Rattus norvegicus: one gene and its partners. The protein of the gene in region 3 binds, or shares a complex with, the protein of the main gene of each other region. Links are inferred from orthologs where the notes say so. Each region holds a gene or a part of one and is shown on either strand. Other genes may lie near its edges. The genes, in order: Gja1, Arrdc3, Nedd4 and Grb10.

Region 1 (4,057 bases), on a different chromosome or scaffold from region 3:
AAGATGATTATTTCTCTCCTTAGTGAGCTGGATAAGCCTCGACACATCAGAAGTCAAACAGAATCATGAAGGGAAGGTAGAAGATCAGGATAGGTGGAGTTCGAGGTATTAATCAGTGGGTGACTTTCCTATAGTTCCCTTCCCTCGGGGCATACAAATTTCTACAATTCACATGAACTGCACCTCTGCAATACGGTGATAAAGCAAAGCAGAGTATCTGCTATCCCTTCTCTCTGCAGGAATTGAAGACGGCTAAGCAACCAAGTTCTGCTCCCTTCGCGGAAGGAAACGCAGCCTTCCCCTCTTGCTGCTGGCTTTAGAACCACATTTCCCCGTGGAAGGTCAGCAATAATAAGAATCCCAACCTCAAAGGATGATGGGACAACGTTGAAGAACATCTATGTGGTGTGTGTTTAGACAGTGGAGTACCAAAGCACTACCACCTGGAACCCCAGCAAGGGACAGGTAGCCCACTGTACCCGAATCTAGATGCACAAAGCTTTCACACACCGGGGAGTGCATTCCAGTAATCCAGAGTTCAACACCTCTCCAGGACAGAAAGTACAGCCTGTAAATGCGCTCATTTCCACACAACTTGGCCTACCCAGCAGAATTAACTAGTACGACCCCACCCCCGCAGTCTATGCCCTCGTTTACTTTAACACACTTTTATTTTCATCAATCCTCATGAAAATAAAAAAGAAAAAATTAACCTCAGGCTTCCTCATGGGAAGCTACTGACCATTCAAGGTTGCTGCCCAGAGGTCTTTTTGGACTGGTAAGATTCACTACCTTCCAGTCACTACTATTGTGCTTGGGGAACAAAGGAAATCAAACCCACCTCCAAAGTCGGCCCTGTAGGCTCTTCTCCTCTCCTCAAAACCCAGTAGTGGGAGGGAAAGGGAAGCTCACCTCCGGGCGCGGGCCGCCGAGTGCTCGGCCAAGGCTCTGCCAGAGATGCCCAGTGAGCATTGGGTGGACCCGAGGGCACTAACGGGGAGAACTCTGCTCGGAAGTCAAGGTTTGAATTTTCCAATCCTGAACGGATTTGCCTCAGCACACGTCAGTAGCTGTCGCACGGTTTCTCGAAGGGTCTTCTTTGCCCCTCCTTCTTCCGCCCCGCCTCATTCTTGGGGAATTTCAAGAGTTTCCAGGAGTGTTACAAGTGCATTTACCAGCACCCGGGCTCCCTAGGTGTTCAGGGGACCTTCCCGGGGGCTCCACTCAGCCACCCGACAAGTTTAGGCAGAGAAACCACGAAAAGGCGTCTCGGAGGGCAGGGGAAGAGACTTCAGATTGACAACTTTAATAAAGTCGACCACTTGCTGCCTCTGACGGTCCGGCCGCGAGGCTCGCCTCCCCTCCCCCCCAACCCCCCTCCGTCGCAGGCAGCGGTCTGGACCGCGAAGCCGGAAGGCTGCGGGGAGCCGAGCCCGGGATGATGCTAAGATTGGGCAGGAAGGGCCCGTGCCACCCTCTGCCCTAAAGTTTTCACTTCAAAAGGACTCGGCCCGTCTGGTACACGGGAAAAAAAAAAAAAACCAACCAAACAAAACTACAGACCCACCCTGAGTCGTTTCGGTGTGGATTTAGGCCGGACAGAATGAAGACTGGGCAAAGTGCTTTACAGAATGTGTTACCAATTTAAAAATAAAGAAAAAAAATAACAGCTTTAAGACGGATCCCCTTTAAACTGCACGTTAACATCATTTTTGCTTAGTGCTTTGCACCCTCTAGAAGCTAATTCAAAACTGTCCCAACAGCTCTGAAGTCCCTACAGGTCCGGGCAGGCAGGCGAAGGGGGGTGGGGGTGGGGAGGGGGCAGCCCCTTCTAAAGCGCGGCTCCAAAATTCCCTTTTCCCCATTCCTTCTAGGAGCTTGGGTTTTAGCAGTTGGTTTTGGAAAAGCACCCTGGCACACACTGTTTCTAACGCCGGTTCCTCTAACGCTCCCCAAGTCACCACCACCCATTCAAGATTTCTCGCGCCCGCAGTTGCCAGCGTGGAGGGGAAAAAAAAAAAAAAAGCTGGCTGTGTGGGCTGAGGGGTTCGTCCCGTAGCACCGCGCTGGCTCGCACAAAGTAACTACTGTTGGTCTAAAAACCCTACCCGCAGCACCCCGATCTACGTATTTTCTGGCTTAATCCAGAAAAAAGGCTAAGGAAGAACCACGTGGAAGTCAACTGCTGCGGCAGGGGCTCAACAAAGCACTGTTACAAAAGGAGCCAGCTTTCTCAAGGCTGTAGAACAGCCGACGGGATTTTCAGGAGGAAAAAGGAAAAAGCCTGCAGTGTCCTGCACTAGAGGAAGCAGGCTAGGCAAAGTTGACGGAGGGGACCCCCCCTTCCCTCCCACCGCAGCACCTTCTCCATCAGGGACTACAGAAAAGTGAAAATTAGGCTCCACAACAAAGAACCAAGTCTAGGAAGTTGGTCCTTCACTCTAGCTGGAAAAAGTTTGAGCCTTTTACCTGTTGCACGAGCAGCGGAACTTTTTAAACAATCAAAATATAAACCAGCACGTGGAAATGGCAAAGACACTTGGAAGACCATCGTTCTACTTACGATATCCTAAGCCAAAGACGCAACGCGTTTACAAAGCACAGTGCAAGAGTTTTCCTGACAGAAAGAGACGCTATTAGGTAAAAGCGGGTTTTTTATCAAAACTTACTCTTTCACTTAATGAAAGTGAAGCCGGCGCGCCAAAGTTGGTGGAACTCCTTGGAGGCTGAAGTCAAAGGAAAAATGAGAGTTCAGGCTCTCAGACCTGTCTGTTTAAAGTTTAAAAGTCTGCTGCTGTTTGGTACTTTCCTCACGCCTTTCCCCCAATGAAAGAAAAGTGCTGATACCTCGTAAAAGCGTTTTTCTAACTTGGAGCGCAGAGCTTTTAAAAGTTTCAAGCCACTGACTCAACTGGAAGGAGGGGCCAGGAGAAAGGGGAGGGAGGAAGAAAAGGCGGGGAGAAGGTGGGGAGGAGGCTGACGAACGTGGGGCTGAGCAGGCAGAAGCAACCTGGTCAAGATAAAGTTGTAGTTTGAATGTGCTGACGAGAAGGGAAAAAAATATGAGAAAACAGCTCTAGCTGTCCGTCGGCCACTGCAGGGCTGTGACTCCTCACAGATAAAATACTGTTGGGTGTAGTAGGGCTTGTTTCAGGGGATGACCAGGGGGAGGGAGAAGACGTACCTTTCGTGTTACATTTTCTAAATGAAAAAAAAATGCAATAAATAAAAATGGGGGGCGGGGGGGACAAGGTCAACTCGTGCAGACTTGTTCTGCGTTCCCCAAGGTGTGTGAAGCTTGAGGTGGGTGTGCGTGATCTTTCTTATGACCTAATTCTCCTCCTCTTAAACACGGACAATTAACAAAGGAAAAAAGGCGGTGGGCATGGGAAAGGCATTTCACAACCAGCCCCAGTGGAGGGGTATGTCTACTCGTCGGTTTCTCTGCTGCTTTAGATAGTTTTGTGTATTCCTTCGATTAAGAACAGGAAGGTAGATGTTATGTATTATGAAAAATATCATGTAGGTAACTTTGGACTGAAACGTTGATACTGACCTCTACCCAGTCTCCGAGGAAGTGAACGTCCTATCTCAGTCCTATTCATGACTACAATTTAGCATTTAAATCGGCAGGAAGATGCCAAAATTCTCCCCCTCCCCTCCCTCCCTCCTCCTCCTCCTCCTCCTCCTCCTCCTCCTCCTCCTCCTCCTCCTCCTCCTCCTCCTCCTCCTAACTGCAGACTAGAGTTTCCAGATACATTATGTTAGCATAAAGCCAGTCTGAAAACTTCCTCCTCTCTTTCGATCATGTCCCTAGGAAGCCCATCCAGGGGAGAGACGTCTGCCTGGTGACCGCCTGCCTACAACTTCATGGCTTTCTCATCATACCTGACGGGGTTTATGAAGGACTGAGTCATATAACCTCATTCCTAAGGGTGGGCAGCTCCTTTGAGGGCTCCCAGATGTCCTCCAAGAGGGCTTATGGCAGGGCAATAAACAGGCTTCAGCGGTGTTCCCGGGGTTAGGCAGGGAAATCTCTCGGCCTTTGTTCAGGCAT
Region 2 (3,988 bases), on a different chromosome or scaffold from region 3:
ATAGTTCGTTTGTTGTGATTCGCCCTATCCGGATTTACCATGCAAAAAGGATCTGATGTTTAACTATAGACAACCTCGTCCGATTTTGGCTATGCATAAAACAGGATTTCATAATATAGCCATGTTATGAGGTTATGTTGACTGTTAATGATCTTAGTCTATGCCATTACCCTCTAAATCCTGGTGATGTTTAGAACTGCATTTTTTTACTCAAGGCATTGAAAAAAGGAGAAATGTGCCTGTATTTAAAGATGTAGCACGGCAATTAGCATGTTGAAGTAAAAGTAAGGCTTAAAAATTAAGCCTCATTTATGTAACAAATCATACTTAAAAACCAAAAACCACCGTATATGCTTTTCTAGCTAAGACTTTTCAGTCTGTTGTAAACAGTGTCAGCTAAATGACTATGTTCAAACTGTCTCTTATGAGGTGGTAATTAGGGGTGTGAGCTCTATTCTTATTCCTGAGGATACAGAAGTTGTAATCGCGTCATTCTCTGCAATGGAGCAGTAGGTGGTGTCTTGAAAAAGGACTTTTTCTCCCGTCGAGGAAGTGGTCGGGCCTACACACTACACAGACAACTTGGTCGAGTTTGAAGCTGTAGGAGTCTGGGAAGGCAGCTGAAGACAAGAGCTGCCTGGAGCATTGTTCTTTGGCTCCTAAGGCCTTGGCTTAGTCCATTGCCACCCTGTCTACAAAGTCCTGCTTGCTTTTGTTGTTTCTATCCAAGTCAACAATGCTTTCTAGTATGAACAATATTTGTCTGCTTTTTATTACATTTTCTTTTGAAATTCATTAGCTTAGACTGGGGCCACCAGCGGCTTGCCCAACCGGTTTCTCCCCTTCCCCCACGGCTCGCACGTCCTGCGGGTCCGCGGTACGGGCGCACACCCTGGCCTGGCGCCGCCGGGCCCCTCTACCTAGCTCGCGGAGCGCGTGCGGGGCCGGCGCTGCAGCCGCGCGGAGTGCCCGCCGGCCAATCGCTGCGGCCCATGCACCGAAGTCAGGGACGCCGGCTCCACACCTACTGTACCGGGAGCGCGCGACGAGAGGGAGGCGCGCGCCTCGCGGGAGGGAACGCGCAGGGAGGCTGGCTGCAGTCGCGGCCTGCGCCTGCGCACTGGGGTTGTTTTTCACAAAGCTGCTCTTAAAGTGAGCTGGCAGCCTCCAGCCGCCCGTCTTTGTAAGGAGACCACTGAGACGAGCAGGAGCGTGGAGCAGCGGCTTCTCTGCTGCCCTGACTTTTTAAGAAATCTCAATGAACTATTTGTAGACAATCACTGATCCTGCCTGCAAGATTTTTTTTTCTTTTGCACGGCAAAGACACCGATCAGTGTTAAGTGAAGATCACATCTTATATGCGATCTTGACTTTTTTTGGTCTTATTATATTTTTATAGATTTTGTTATAATCATGGTGCTGGGAAAGGTAAAGAGTTTGACAATAAGCTTTGACTGTCTTAATGACAGTAATGTCCCCGTGTATTCTAGCGGGGACACTGTCTCAGGAAGGGTAAATTTAGAAGTTACTGGGGAAATCAGAGTAAAATCTCTTAAAATTCATGCAAGAGGACATGCGAAAGTACGCTGGACTGAATCAAGAAACGCCGGCTCCAATACTGCCTATACACAGAATTACACTGAAGAAGTAGAATATTTCAACCATAAAGACATCTTAATTGGGCACGAAAGAGGTAAGTTTTTATATTAGTCACTACATTCTACTTCTGTGCATGAGAACTTTAATCTCCTTTAATGCAGTTCTAGTCGGCAGTTTGATGAAGGTAGCAAACTTAGAAGATGTAGTTTCTCCTTGACGTCCAAGCGTGTTAAGCTGTAATCCATGCAGGCGTCTGCAAAGTGAGTGCAAACTGCACTTAACTTCATCTGTAACCGGCTTCATATCTGCCATACGCACCTTATAACGTGTTCAAATGTGACTCCGTCGTTTTACTGATATTTTCAAATTCATTTGCAAAGACTGCAGTCCAATGTTGGATTTCTCCTTTTATTTTACAATCTTAGATACAGGAAGGAGCACCAATAAAGAACTGTAGTGACATTTTAAGAAGGTTGCTAGATGTATCTGCTTTTGATATTAACGTGCAAACGACTTTAAAGACTTGATTATTGTTCTTTGATAAAGGGTTTCCCTGGCTTATTTTGACATATGGCATCAACACCCCCACGTGTTTTCCCATTTCTCCCAATTCCTTTTAAAATGTACATCAAGCACCATTTATTTTAAAGGATAATATCTATCATTATGCAAACTATTAAGTCAGTTTAGAAGCCATTCCGGGTCAGTACTTTTCTTCTCGGAGCATCATGTCTAACTTTGGAACGTGGATTCAATGAAACCCATGGCAGACAGATGGAATTGAAAAGTATATGGCACATCGGATTTGGTTTTTGGGTACAAGATGAAGATTAAGGCATTGTCAAAGGGACAAGAGGTCCTAAGATTTGCGATCTGTTGTTTAAGTGGCTACAATGTGGAAATATAGGCGACTCCAAGCTTGTTTTTCTAAGTTTCCACCCTTTGTTAGAAGCGGTTCAATCCTGTTTCGGACCAGTTCTGGGGGATGGTGAGGAGGGGCGCTTGTTCTGCTCTCAGCAGATTGGTTACACGCGTCAGGTGGTGGCGATGACTTAATTCCTAGTCCAAGAAGAATATAATGTTAAAACTGGTTATGTAATTTGTGTTTCTTCTTTCTAATGCAGTATTTTAGTGCAAATACTGGCGATTTTTCAGATAGAGGCATGCTTTTTTTTTTAAGTATCTAAAATATACATCCTAGGGAGACGTTAATTGAACTTAACGCAAGTGAGAAATGGAGGATGCTTTAAGTTACACAGAATTAATGTACCGTCTTTTAAATATAAAGGTGAAGCCAAGTCTTGGGGTTTACGCAGCTACACCGAGGTGTTCTACATGCTGAAATGGTTCCCTAGTTCACCTTCCGCAGCGTCCACACGAATGGGCCATACAGTACCTAATGACAGCGCTCGTATTTGTTTTTTAAAAAGGGCAGATCCATGAATTTGCTTTTGAACCTGCTTTGACGTCGCACCCTTTAAAAACATAAGAAGAGACAAAGGCTTTTTCCTCGAAGAGTTAAGACTTGTAGTAGGGGGGAAAGAACGAGTTCTGTGGACACACACTTGATCCGTTGCACCACGATCTCACAGTTAAGATAACTACCTGCGCCCTGCGAGGTGCCCCAGCAAGCCTGGCTACGCGTGGACGGGCTCTTAAGGCTGGAATAGTTTCAATGACTTCAAACTGGCAGCTCGCTCAAACTAGCCTGGTAGCTGAGCGCCCGCCCCGGGCGCCCAGCGATAGGCGGAGCTGCGTTTGTTAGCCTGTTGCTAAGGCGATGCCAGGCGTTGATTGGACTGGGCACGGGGGGGGGGGGGCGAGGGGGAAGTCGAGCCGGCTCGCGCCGGCTGGGGCGAGGCTTGGAACCGGCGTGCGCCGGTAAAGGTCTCTCCCGGCCAGCCGCCTCCGCCCCTCGGCGCGCCCCTCTCCGGGTGTCCCAGGCCCCTCGCCCACTGCAGCCGCCGCAGGTTTCATTGCCCTGGGCTCAAGCTCGGTTAAAAATCCCACCAAAGGCTGATCGAGGTGCGGGCGCCAGGGTACCCCCGGGGCTGGTACCTGTGTGACCCGAGGGGACATGACACAGGACAGATAGGGGAGACATCACCGGCACCAACTGGGCCTCGCCCATTGTTCCCCGGGGCCTCCGCCTCCGCGCCGCCGCCCCAGTTCCCCCTCGCTGTAACAGCGAAGGTGTCAGGGTGGCCTGAGCCAGATTGAACCGGTCACCGGCTGGGGCGTGGAAAGCGGAAGCTCGGCTTGCTGTGGCTCCGCCTCCGGCCCAGCATTCTAGGCTGCTCGGGCGCGAGCGCCGCGCGACGTATGCCGTATGTATAGCGGGGCGCGCGGAGCGCGGCCGCGCGCGGGCGGGCCGGCTGGGATCTGCTCA
Region 3 (3,560 bases):
CAAACAAAACTACAACAAAAACCCTGCAAATGTCTGCTCTTATAAAACCTAGTGTTCTTTGCCTCACCGCTGACAGATGGCTTATTTATGTCTCCTACTTTTTTTTTTTTGGTTCTTTTTTTTTTTTTTTTTTTTTTCCGGAGCTGGGGACCAAACCCAGGGCCTTGCGCTTCCTAGGTAAGCGCTCTACCACTGAGCTAAATCCCCAGCCCCATGTCTCCTACTTTTTAGTGATTCACTTTGCCTTTGCTTTCTATGGCACCGTTCTCCCACACAGGGTCACAGCAGACACGTCCGTCCTTTGTGCTGTAATTCCCATGGGTATTTTTTTCATCTATATAAATCCCTAAGAGAAGGTTGGGAGTCCCGAGTCCAATGGATTCTGTATAAGGTTAAGAGCACTTACTGCTCTTGCAAGGGACCTAAGTCTGATTCCCAGCACAAACATGGCAGATCACAGACATCTGTAACTTCAGTTCCAGGGGACTCAATACCTTCTTCTCACCTCTATGAATATCAGGCATACACACATATACATGAAGACAAAACACCCTCACACAAAAATAAAACTTTTAATTTAAAAGTGTCTGAAGATTCCAGGTATTTATTGCTTCTGATGCTTTTCCTCTCTTCACCAGGAACTTTAACCTGCTTTAACATTTCTTCTTTAAAAGATTTGTATGTGTACTTGTGAGTGCAGTGCCTGTGGAGGCCACATGAGGGCGCCAGATCCCCTGGAGTTGGTCACAGGCGGGTCCCTGGGAATCCTCAGTAAGAGCAATTCCGGAATGCCGAGCCAACACTCCAGTCCAGTTGTATATTTCATTTATTGTTTCCAGATTTAGACACTTACTCTTTAAAAATATTTTATTTCATTATTTAGCTCTCTGGTCTTTCTGGAACGTAGTTAAAACAGACCTTTCTTCTTTTTTTTTTTTCTTTTTTTGTTCTTTTTTTCGGAACTGAGGACTGAACCCAGGGCCTAGCAAGCGCTCTACCACTGAGCTAAATCCCCAACCCCCAGACCTTTCTTCTTTATCATCTTCTAATTGGTAAATGATTCCCATTAATCTATATTCAGTTCATCTTTGCTCTATGTATCCATTCAGTTATCATAATCAACCAAAGTACTTTAATTTCAAATATATTTTAGTTGTAGAATTTCCCTGTTTGTCTGTCTGTCTGTCTGTCTGTCTCTACTTCATTCCTGAAACTTCCAAGGTTTTGACTGACCATGAGCATATACTCTTCCCTTTGGCCCAGTTTTTGTTTCCTGAAGACACTGTCTCGCTATGTAGGCCTGGCAGCCCTGGACTCAGACAATCCTTGAATTCAGAGGTCTTCCCGCCTCTGCCTCCCAGCACACTCTGCTCACAGACTCTTTATTGACTGACATTTACTGTGCTCCACTTCCCTGTCTCTCCACAGACCAGGTGACTACATGTTGTGTCCCGGACATTGTAAGCTGAGTTAGTTACAGAGAATCTAGGTTCTGTTATTTTTCCATGTTTATCTACCTTGTTTGGACAAGGGTCACAAACTCTATTGGGCCAATAGCTCTCCGCTCAGATCGTCTGACACCAGCTGAGGGTACAAATCTTTTCCTTACCACTGCCATGCTTCCTTCCAATCTGTTCTTCTCATTTCTCCACCACGAGAGTCCAACCTGCTCCAGGGTTTCAGGCTGTGGGACTACCTCTCCCGTTCCAGGTTGTAATTCTCCCTGGCTTCAGACTAATTCCCATAAGGGAACCACTCCACACCACTGCTTCGCTCTCATGTGGCTCGCCCCAGTACTCCCGCTCTGCTCATTTGATGCTCAGAGGTACTTTTTCTATTGCACCCAGAGATTATGGTGGTTATTATCTGCTAAAGGATTTAGAGACTTAAAATAAAAAAATCTATAACTATCACTGATCACTATTACAGATACCAAGAAAATAATCAACCACCTAACCTGTAAGGTCCTCACTGTACACCAAAATTTGTTATTATCATTCAGATTTTCATTTAATCAAAGTCCAAGAAAGAAATATTATTTCTTTAAACTCCAAACCCACATATCATACTTACCTGGCTCCCAAGATGTCTTTCTTGGCCAGACCTATGCCAGCTATAACCTTCACTCTCACAACTCGCGTGTCATCCTAAAATGCAAAGGGTGGTTTTACTTAAGTAATTACAAGTTATCTAATACAATGATAACCAGAATACTAAATTTGGAGAATATTTAAAAATAAGTAATCTGATTAAAAGGTATATAAAAGAAGATAAAAACAAAATTTATCATTTTTAGATACATTTGATCACACACACAAAAAGCAAAGAACTAGAGTCAAGTTATTACACACAATAAGAATTTAGCCTTAAAATTTATAAGAAAAATTTAAAGGGGGCTGGGGATTTAGCTCAGTGGTAGAGCGCTTGCCTAGGAAGCGCAAGGCCCTGGGTTCGGTCCCCAGCTCCAAAAAAAAAAGAACCAAAAAAAAAAAAAAAACTAATGACAATGGTAACTAAGGAAGTCTCCATTGTTACCACGTTCACAACATAAAATCAGAAGCTCATCATAATCATGTAATAACTACTAAGAAAAGGCAATTTTAAGTCTCATTAAAGAGTTTATAAATAACAGTGAGCGCACTATGATATGTCAAATAGCAATGACCTAGCAGGTCACAGTGGAATGAGGTCCTATGGGAGAACTTCCTTGTCTTAAAAGAGACGTCTCATCTAAGGGGAGCTGGGTGAGGAGTTGGAGGGGCGAGAATGGTCAAATTACATTGTGTATGGCTAGGTGAGGTGATGAACCACTCTAATCCCTTGGCGTCAACATGACAATAATTTAAGACCAGCTTGGTTTACAGAGTTAAGTTTCAGGCTAGTTGGGGCTATATAATGAGACCTTGCCTCAAAAGAAATCAATCAATCAATCAATCAGTCAATCAATCGTGGGGCTAAGAAATGGCTCAGTAGTAAAAAGCATCAGCTGTTCTTCCAGAGGACCTGGATTCAATTCCCAGCACCTACATGGTCACTCACAACCAACTATATGTCCAGTTCCAAGTTCTGGCTGAAGAAGCCCTCTTCTGGTCTCTATGGACACTAGGAACACACACCATATACAGACACACATACAAACAAAACATCCATACACATAAATAAAAATTTTAAAAACGTACATTGTGAAGCTCGAGATATGGATCGGCAGTGAAAAGCACGTGCTCCTCTTCCAGGGAACTCGGATTTAACTCCCAGCATCCACATGGTGGCTCACAAGTATCTGTGACATCACTTCCGGGGGATCCACCACCCTCTTCATTCTTATCCAGACAGAACTCCCATACCCGTAAAAATTAAAAAAAAATACATTATTATGAAATTCTCAACAAATTAATAAAAATATTACACTTTCTAAAGTGATACATAACAAAATATTCAGGGGAAAATGGCACAAACTCTGTAACTTATTCTCAATGGCTCAGCAAGTAAAAAGTTGGATGTGAGTCTATCTGTGCATGTGTAAAAAGGAAATGAAGGCAATGTTTCCAAGCTGTGGACTG
Region 4 (4,202 bases), on a different chromosome or scaffold from region 3:
TTCCCTCCTATTAAGTGCCAACACTGAAATGTCCGGCGGGGAGCACTGAGTCTCCACGGATGGACAACTGCCCCCAGCGCACAGTTGCAAATAGACACGACGGTCCTGTAGTTTCTTACACGTGGAACAAACTTTCAAGCAAATAGGTTCTCTAAATCACACCATCTATAAAATACCAGTTTAAAAAGAAAGATAGGCCAAGCAAAAATCTGTACAGCTCTAAAATGAGCTAAGGGCACATGGATGGCTTGGTTCAACCAAAGTTTGGCTTCGAAACACTGTAAAGCCTGTGACCCAGCGGGTTCAGCCACATCCTAAATTTTGAGCTGGATCTTTGGTTCTGATTTTGTCCTTCTTGCCCAGTGGAGGCTAACTGGACAGACACAGCTGCTCTGGCTTCCAACCATAGCAGTAACCACCACCCAAAGTCCTAGACAATTAGCCACCAAAAAATCTGCCCTGCTTTCTGGTTCCCTAGTCCGCCTACAAAATCCACTTTGACCAACCCAACACTGGTTCAAAAGCAACATAGGCCAAGTAGTGTGTAATAAGTGATTTAGGTGCCACGAAGCGTTTTAACTTTAATCATAATGAACAAAAATATCATATCAAACTCATGGCTTGATGAATATTGAAGTTTCTTCTCAAAGTAAATGAGTATGTAAGTTAAAAAAAAAGAAGAAAAAGAAAAAAGAAAAAAGAAAAACCTCAGTGATAATTGCTTGGTCTACGTGGCATTAATCTGGAAGGCTGGAAGCAACTGGTCTAAGAAACCAGGCCCCGTCCTCCATTTGCTCTGCTGTGTGTTGAGCAGGGTGTCCCTCCTCTACACCATTTCTTCTAGAAGTGGACATGCTTTTGCAGACGGTAAAAAGCTCAGGAGGTCTCCCCAGAGCTTTGTCCTTTGTTAGCTGGTGCGGCCTGAGGCATACCAGTTAACCTCCTGAGCCTTGGTTTCCAGACCTGTAAAATGGGGACCGTGGGGGCCACGAAGCGCATAAAAAGCAACAGGGCTTTTGAAAGCGCCTTGTAAACTGCGAAATGCTACCTCAGTATCAGTGGCTACACTTCTCAGTTACTGCAACGCCTGCTGGGCTGCAACTCCGTCTGTCCTCAAATTCCCTCCCTGTAATGTGGGGACTGGCCTCTTTCAAATGTTCCCAGTAAAACTCAAAAAAAAAAAAAAAAGTATGTTCAGTAATCCTAAAGTTTTGATTTTTTTTAAAGACAAAAATTTGGTAGGCGAGACTCATTCCTGGGAGCACATTTGATCGCAGCACTCTTGGTGAAATAGTTCTAAGACGCCTCATCCATCGCCTTACACAATTCCCTCAGCTGCAGAAATCCAGAACTCGAGGTCCACTTCTGTAAAATAGGAACCTCACTAAAGTGTAAGCCTTAGTCTGTTCTCGAGGGGGTGAGGTGGGGGGGGCGATGTTAACGACTGGAGTTCTGGTAAAGGAGAGCGAAACGTTAAACTGAGCACCATTTCTGAAACTCAGGGGCTCCAAATGGCTGAATCAGCAATTTCTGAAACAAAGTCTTCTGGGCCTGGCCTTTTAAACAGCCGCAAAGGGAAAGTTGTGCAATAACACATATTTACTCACTAATGCTACTTGTTTTGGACTTTTTCTTTGCATCTCTTGAATGAAACAGTTACAAGAAAAGAGTTTTTTCAAAAACATCCCAAAGACCCGGGGCCTTGTAAAAATCACCTGTGGCGCTCCTACTTTTTTGGTTAAAGCAAATGAAAAGAAGTTCGCGGGGTTTCTTCCAATGCCAAGAGAAGGCAAATACAATTTTTTTAAAAAGTGAATACCCTAATTTCCATAACGCACATGCCGCAGGCCCTCGCCAGGCAGGCGTTTGGAGAGGCAATCAGCAAAGGCGGAGAGTTGCATCAGAAATTTCCTTCTGCAAACGGTACCGCTCTTATCACGTTTCCACCGCTGGCGGGCTGCTTTTTCGCGAGCCCTCAAACTTGGTGTTAGGCCCCAGCGACGGGTAGCGGGGCCACTAACAGACCCGAAGAAAGAAAGGGGTGGGGGTTGGGGCACGAGGGGGGGGGGTAGGGACAGATCCTCGGACCGCGGCCCGGGCCGCGCTCGCTTGGGACTTGGGAGTGTCTGGCACCGCTGCCCGGCCCGCCTGGCGCGCGCGCCGAGGCCGGGGGCGCAGCGGGAGTACCCGCCGCTCCGGTGATCCCCGGGCGCCCACCCTCCAGGGCGGTGGCCCCCGAAAGCGCGGCCTTGACCGCGGCCCCCGCCCGAGCCCCCCGAGCCGTCGCCGTCGGACAAGACGGCTCAAGAATGTCCCTCTCGGGGCCCCGAGCCTCCCCCCGGGGGCCAGAGCGCAGTGGAGAGCGTCGCGGGGCGCCGCAGCCGCGCGCCCGCCGTCCCGTCCCGCCATCCCGCGCCGTCCCGCCGCGGGCCGGGGGCGCCGCAGCCCCTCAGTCCCTTAGCCCCCCGAGGCGACGCCCTTCCGCCCGCCGCGCCTCGCGGGGCCCCGCGTCCCGTTCGCGGGCGGCCCCGAGCGCAGACAATGACGGCGCGGGGAGCCGCCCGGCCGCCGGGCCCCGCGAGGCGCGGACCACAAAAGTAACTTGCCGCCGCTCCCCGCCCAACTCCTACCTGGCGTGCAGCTCCTCGTCGCCTCCGCGTGGCCGCTGGCCACACGTTGCACGAGTCCCTGCGAAAAAGCCGAAGGCAAAGACGGACACTGGACGGTCCCAGTCGCCGTGCGTGAGACGGTGCGCGGAAACTTCGTGCTCCCGTGGGTCTCGGAACGCGAATCCCGCCCGCCACTGGTCGCAGCGCCCTTCTCTTCCTGCCGCCTCCCCGCACCCCACCCCCTCGATGGGCTTTAAACTCTCCGGGCCCCGCCCGCCCTCCCCGCCTCCGCCACCGCCTCCGCCTCCTCCTCCCCCGGCCGCTTTTCCTGCTCCTCCTCCCGCCGCCGCCCGGACCGCTCGGCGGCCGCCAGCGCGGGAGGAGCCGCGGCCTGGGCGCAGGGCGTGGCGCGGGGGGCGCGGGCTCAGCGGCCGCGGGGTTGGCGTGGCACGATGCTCTCCCGCCCAGGCCGGCGCGCGCCCACCATGCTCGCAGCTTGCGGGACCCCCGGCGCCACGCCACCGCCCCGGTGCGCGGCCGCGCCGGCGAAGACCGACCGGACCTGTCCCGAAGGGCCATTCGGAAGGGAATTGTTCGAAACTCAGAAAGTACTCCCCAACCGCACAGTTCAAATTCTTCCTGGGCTGCGGCCGCCCGACACCGTCGTGGGCAGCCCCGGGCCCGGACAAGGAAACTCGGGCTTGCTCACGGCGGGTCGGTCCGAGCCTCACCTTTCTCAGCCTCAGTTTCGCCAGCTGCGTGTGAGTAGCCGAAGGAGGGAAGCCTGAGAGGCCCTTCATTGTTTCTTGAGGCAGCCTAGCAAGCCTCGTGTCCTTTACCTCTGAAGTGGGGCCCTCCTGAAAGTAAAGCCCAGACGGGCCGTGCCCGGTTTCTAAAGTGACCCACGAAAAGGCAACAGGGCTTATGTGATCGGCCCCTTCGAAATAATTCTTAATGTCTATATTGTGTCGCTTTTCTAGCACAGATAGGATACCAATAATTACACCTTTTTCTTGAGTTTCGGCTTGGTAAAAGCAGCCCCAACCGTAAATCACCGTAGTCGAGAAGACACGTGGTGTGAAACATTCGTGAGTTCTCCTACTTCTCCCTCACTCAAACTTCTGAGGTTGTTTCTAGAGCAACTGTAGAGAAGTAGAGAGACTGAGTCTCTTAAGAAGTAACTTCTAGAAGGTTGAGAAGCTGGGAGGGAGCTCAGGGCAAGGATTTGAAAGCTGTGCTGTGCACGTATTGTCCCGACGCGCTTTTTGAGAGCACTGCTCTGGTACCTCTTGCTTCTAACCGTGGTTTTTCCGACCTCAGATTGATGTAATCAATGAAAAGTTTTCCCTTTCTTATAACTGAACACTCACTCCTGTTTCTGGCCGTTGGTCCAGACTCAGAAACCCACAAGGTGAAAATCCAGAGGAAAGGATGTGAAATAAGTCTTCGATTCCCCGGGAAAGGAACACAAGAAGTCTTTTGTAGACAAAGGACTCAAAAGCGAACCAAAGCAGAGAAAACTGGGCTAACTTTTCCCAAGTTGATTTGCTTCAAACCTTTTAGTTTTCCTGCAAAGTCTCACCAGCGATCCAT

Evidence for each region.
Region 1: the proteins of Nedd4 (region 3) and Gja1 are in contact, whole or in part, in an NMR structure (PDB 2N8T), measured with the Rattus norvegicus proteins. Residues at the interface, in NP_037118.1 of Rattus norvegicus: Asp416, Asp417, Tyr422, Val424, Asp425, His426, Ser428, Lys429, Thr430, Thr431, Thr432, Trp433; in NP_036699.1 of Rattus norvegicus: Pro277, Leu278, Ser279, Pro280, Met281, Ser282, Pro283, Pro284, Gly285, Tyr286.
Region 2: the proteins of Nedd4 (region 3) and Arrdc3 are in contact, whole or in part, in a crystal structure (PDB 4N7H), measured with the Homo sapiens proteins. The link is inferred for Rattus norvegicus from reciprocal best matches to the Homo sapiens genes NEDD4 and ARRDC3. Residues at the interface, in NP_001271267.1 of Homo sapiens: Glu847, Arg849, Ala851, Pro852, Phe857, Ile859, Asp860, His861, Lys864, Thr865, Thr866, Thr867, Trp868; in NP_065852.1 of Homo sapiens: Glu344, Ala345, Pro346, Pro347, Ser348, Tyr349, Val352.
Region 4: the proteins of Nedd4 (region 3) and Grb10 are in contact, whole or in part, in a crystal structure (PDB 3M7F), measured with the Mus musculus proteins. The link is inferred for Rattus norvegicus from reciprocal best matches to the Homo sapiens genes NEDD4 and GRB10. Residues at the interface, in NP_035020.2 of Mus musculus: Glu71, Leu72, Val79, Arg104, Ser112, Ile114, Leu115, Thr116, Ser117, Val118, Gln119, Glu134, Ile135, Leu136, Phe137, Arg138, Leu242, Pro243, His244, Pro245, Pro246; in NP_001357532.1 of Mus musculus: Ile514, Arg516, Gln518, His519, Phe521, His522, Gly523, Arg524, Asp548, Gln579, Phe581, Gly587, Asn588, Thr589, Lys590, Phe591, Ser592, Ile595, Gln596, Asp599, Phe600, Leu603, Asn604, Ile617, Arg618, Val619, Ala620.

The regions. Positions count from the first base shown.
Region 1 is NC_086038.1:36,301,359-36,305,415, reverse strand, and holds the start of Gja1 (gap junction alpha-1 protein), read right to left. Parts: upstream 2,853-4,057; 5' UTR 2,670-2,852; intron 1,660-2,669; exon of another isoform or gene 842-1,659; intron 1-841. UniProt on the Homo sapiens protein: Gap junction protein that acts as a regulator of bladder capacity. A gap junction consists of a cluster of closely packed pairs of transmembrane channels, the connexons, through which materials of low MW diffuse from one cell to a neighboring cell.
Region 2 is NC_086020.1:12,872,025-12,876,012, forward strand, and holds the start of Arrdc3 (arrestin domain-containing protein 3), read left to right. Parts: upstream 1-1,177; 5' UTR 1,178-1,413; coding exon 1,414-1,693; exon of another isoform or gene 1,694-2,658; intron 2,659-2,869; exon of another isoform or gene 2,870-3,006; intron 3,007-3,894; exon of another isoform or gene 3,895-3,988. UniProt on the Homo sapiens protein: Adapter protein that plays a role in regulating cell-surface expression of adrenergic receptors and probably also other G protein-coupled receptors.
Region 3 is NC_086026.1:82,271,259-82,274,818, reverse strand, and holds part of Nedd4 (E3 ubiquitin-protein ligase NEDD4), read right to left. Parts: intron 3,346-3,560; coding exon of another isoform or gene 3,345-3,345; coding exon 3,180-3,344; intron 2,148-3,179; coding exon 2,074-2,147; intron 1-2,073. UniProt on the Homo sapiens protein: E3 ubiquitin-protein ligase which accepts ubiquitin from an E2 ubiquitin-conjugating enzyme in the form of a thioester and then directly transfers the ubiquitin to targeted substrates. Specifically ubiquitinates 'Lys-63' in target proteins.
Region 4 is NC_086032.1:90,813,552-90,817,753, forward strand, and holds the start of Grb10 (growth factor receptor-bound protein 10), read right to left. Parts: upstream 2,837-4,202; 5' UTR 2,631-2,836; intron 1-2,630.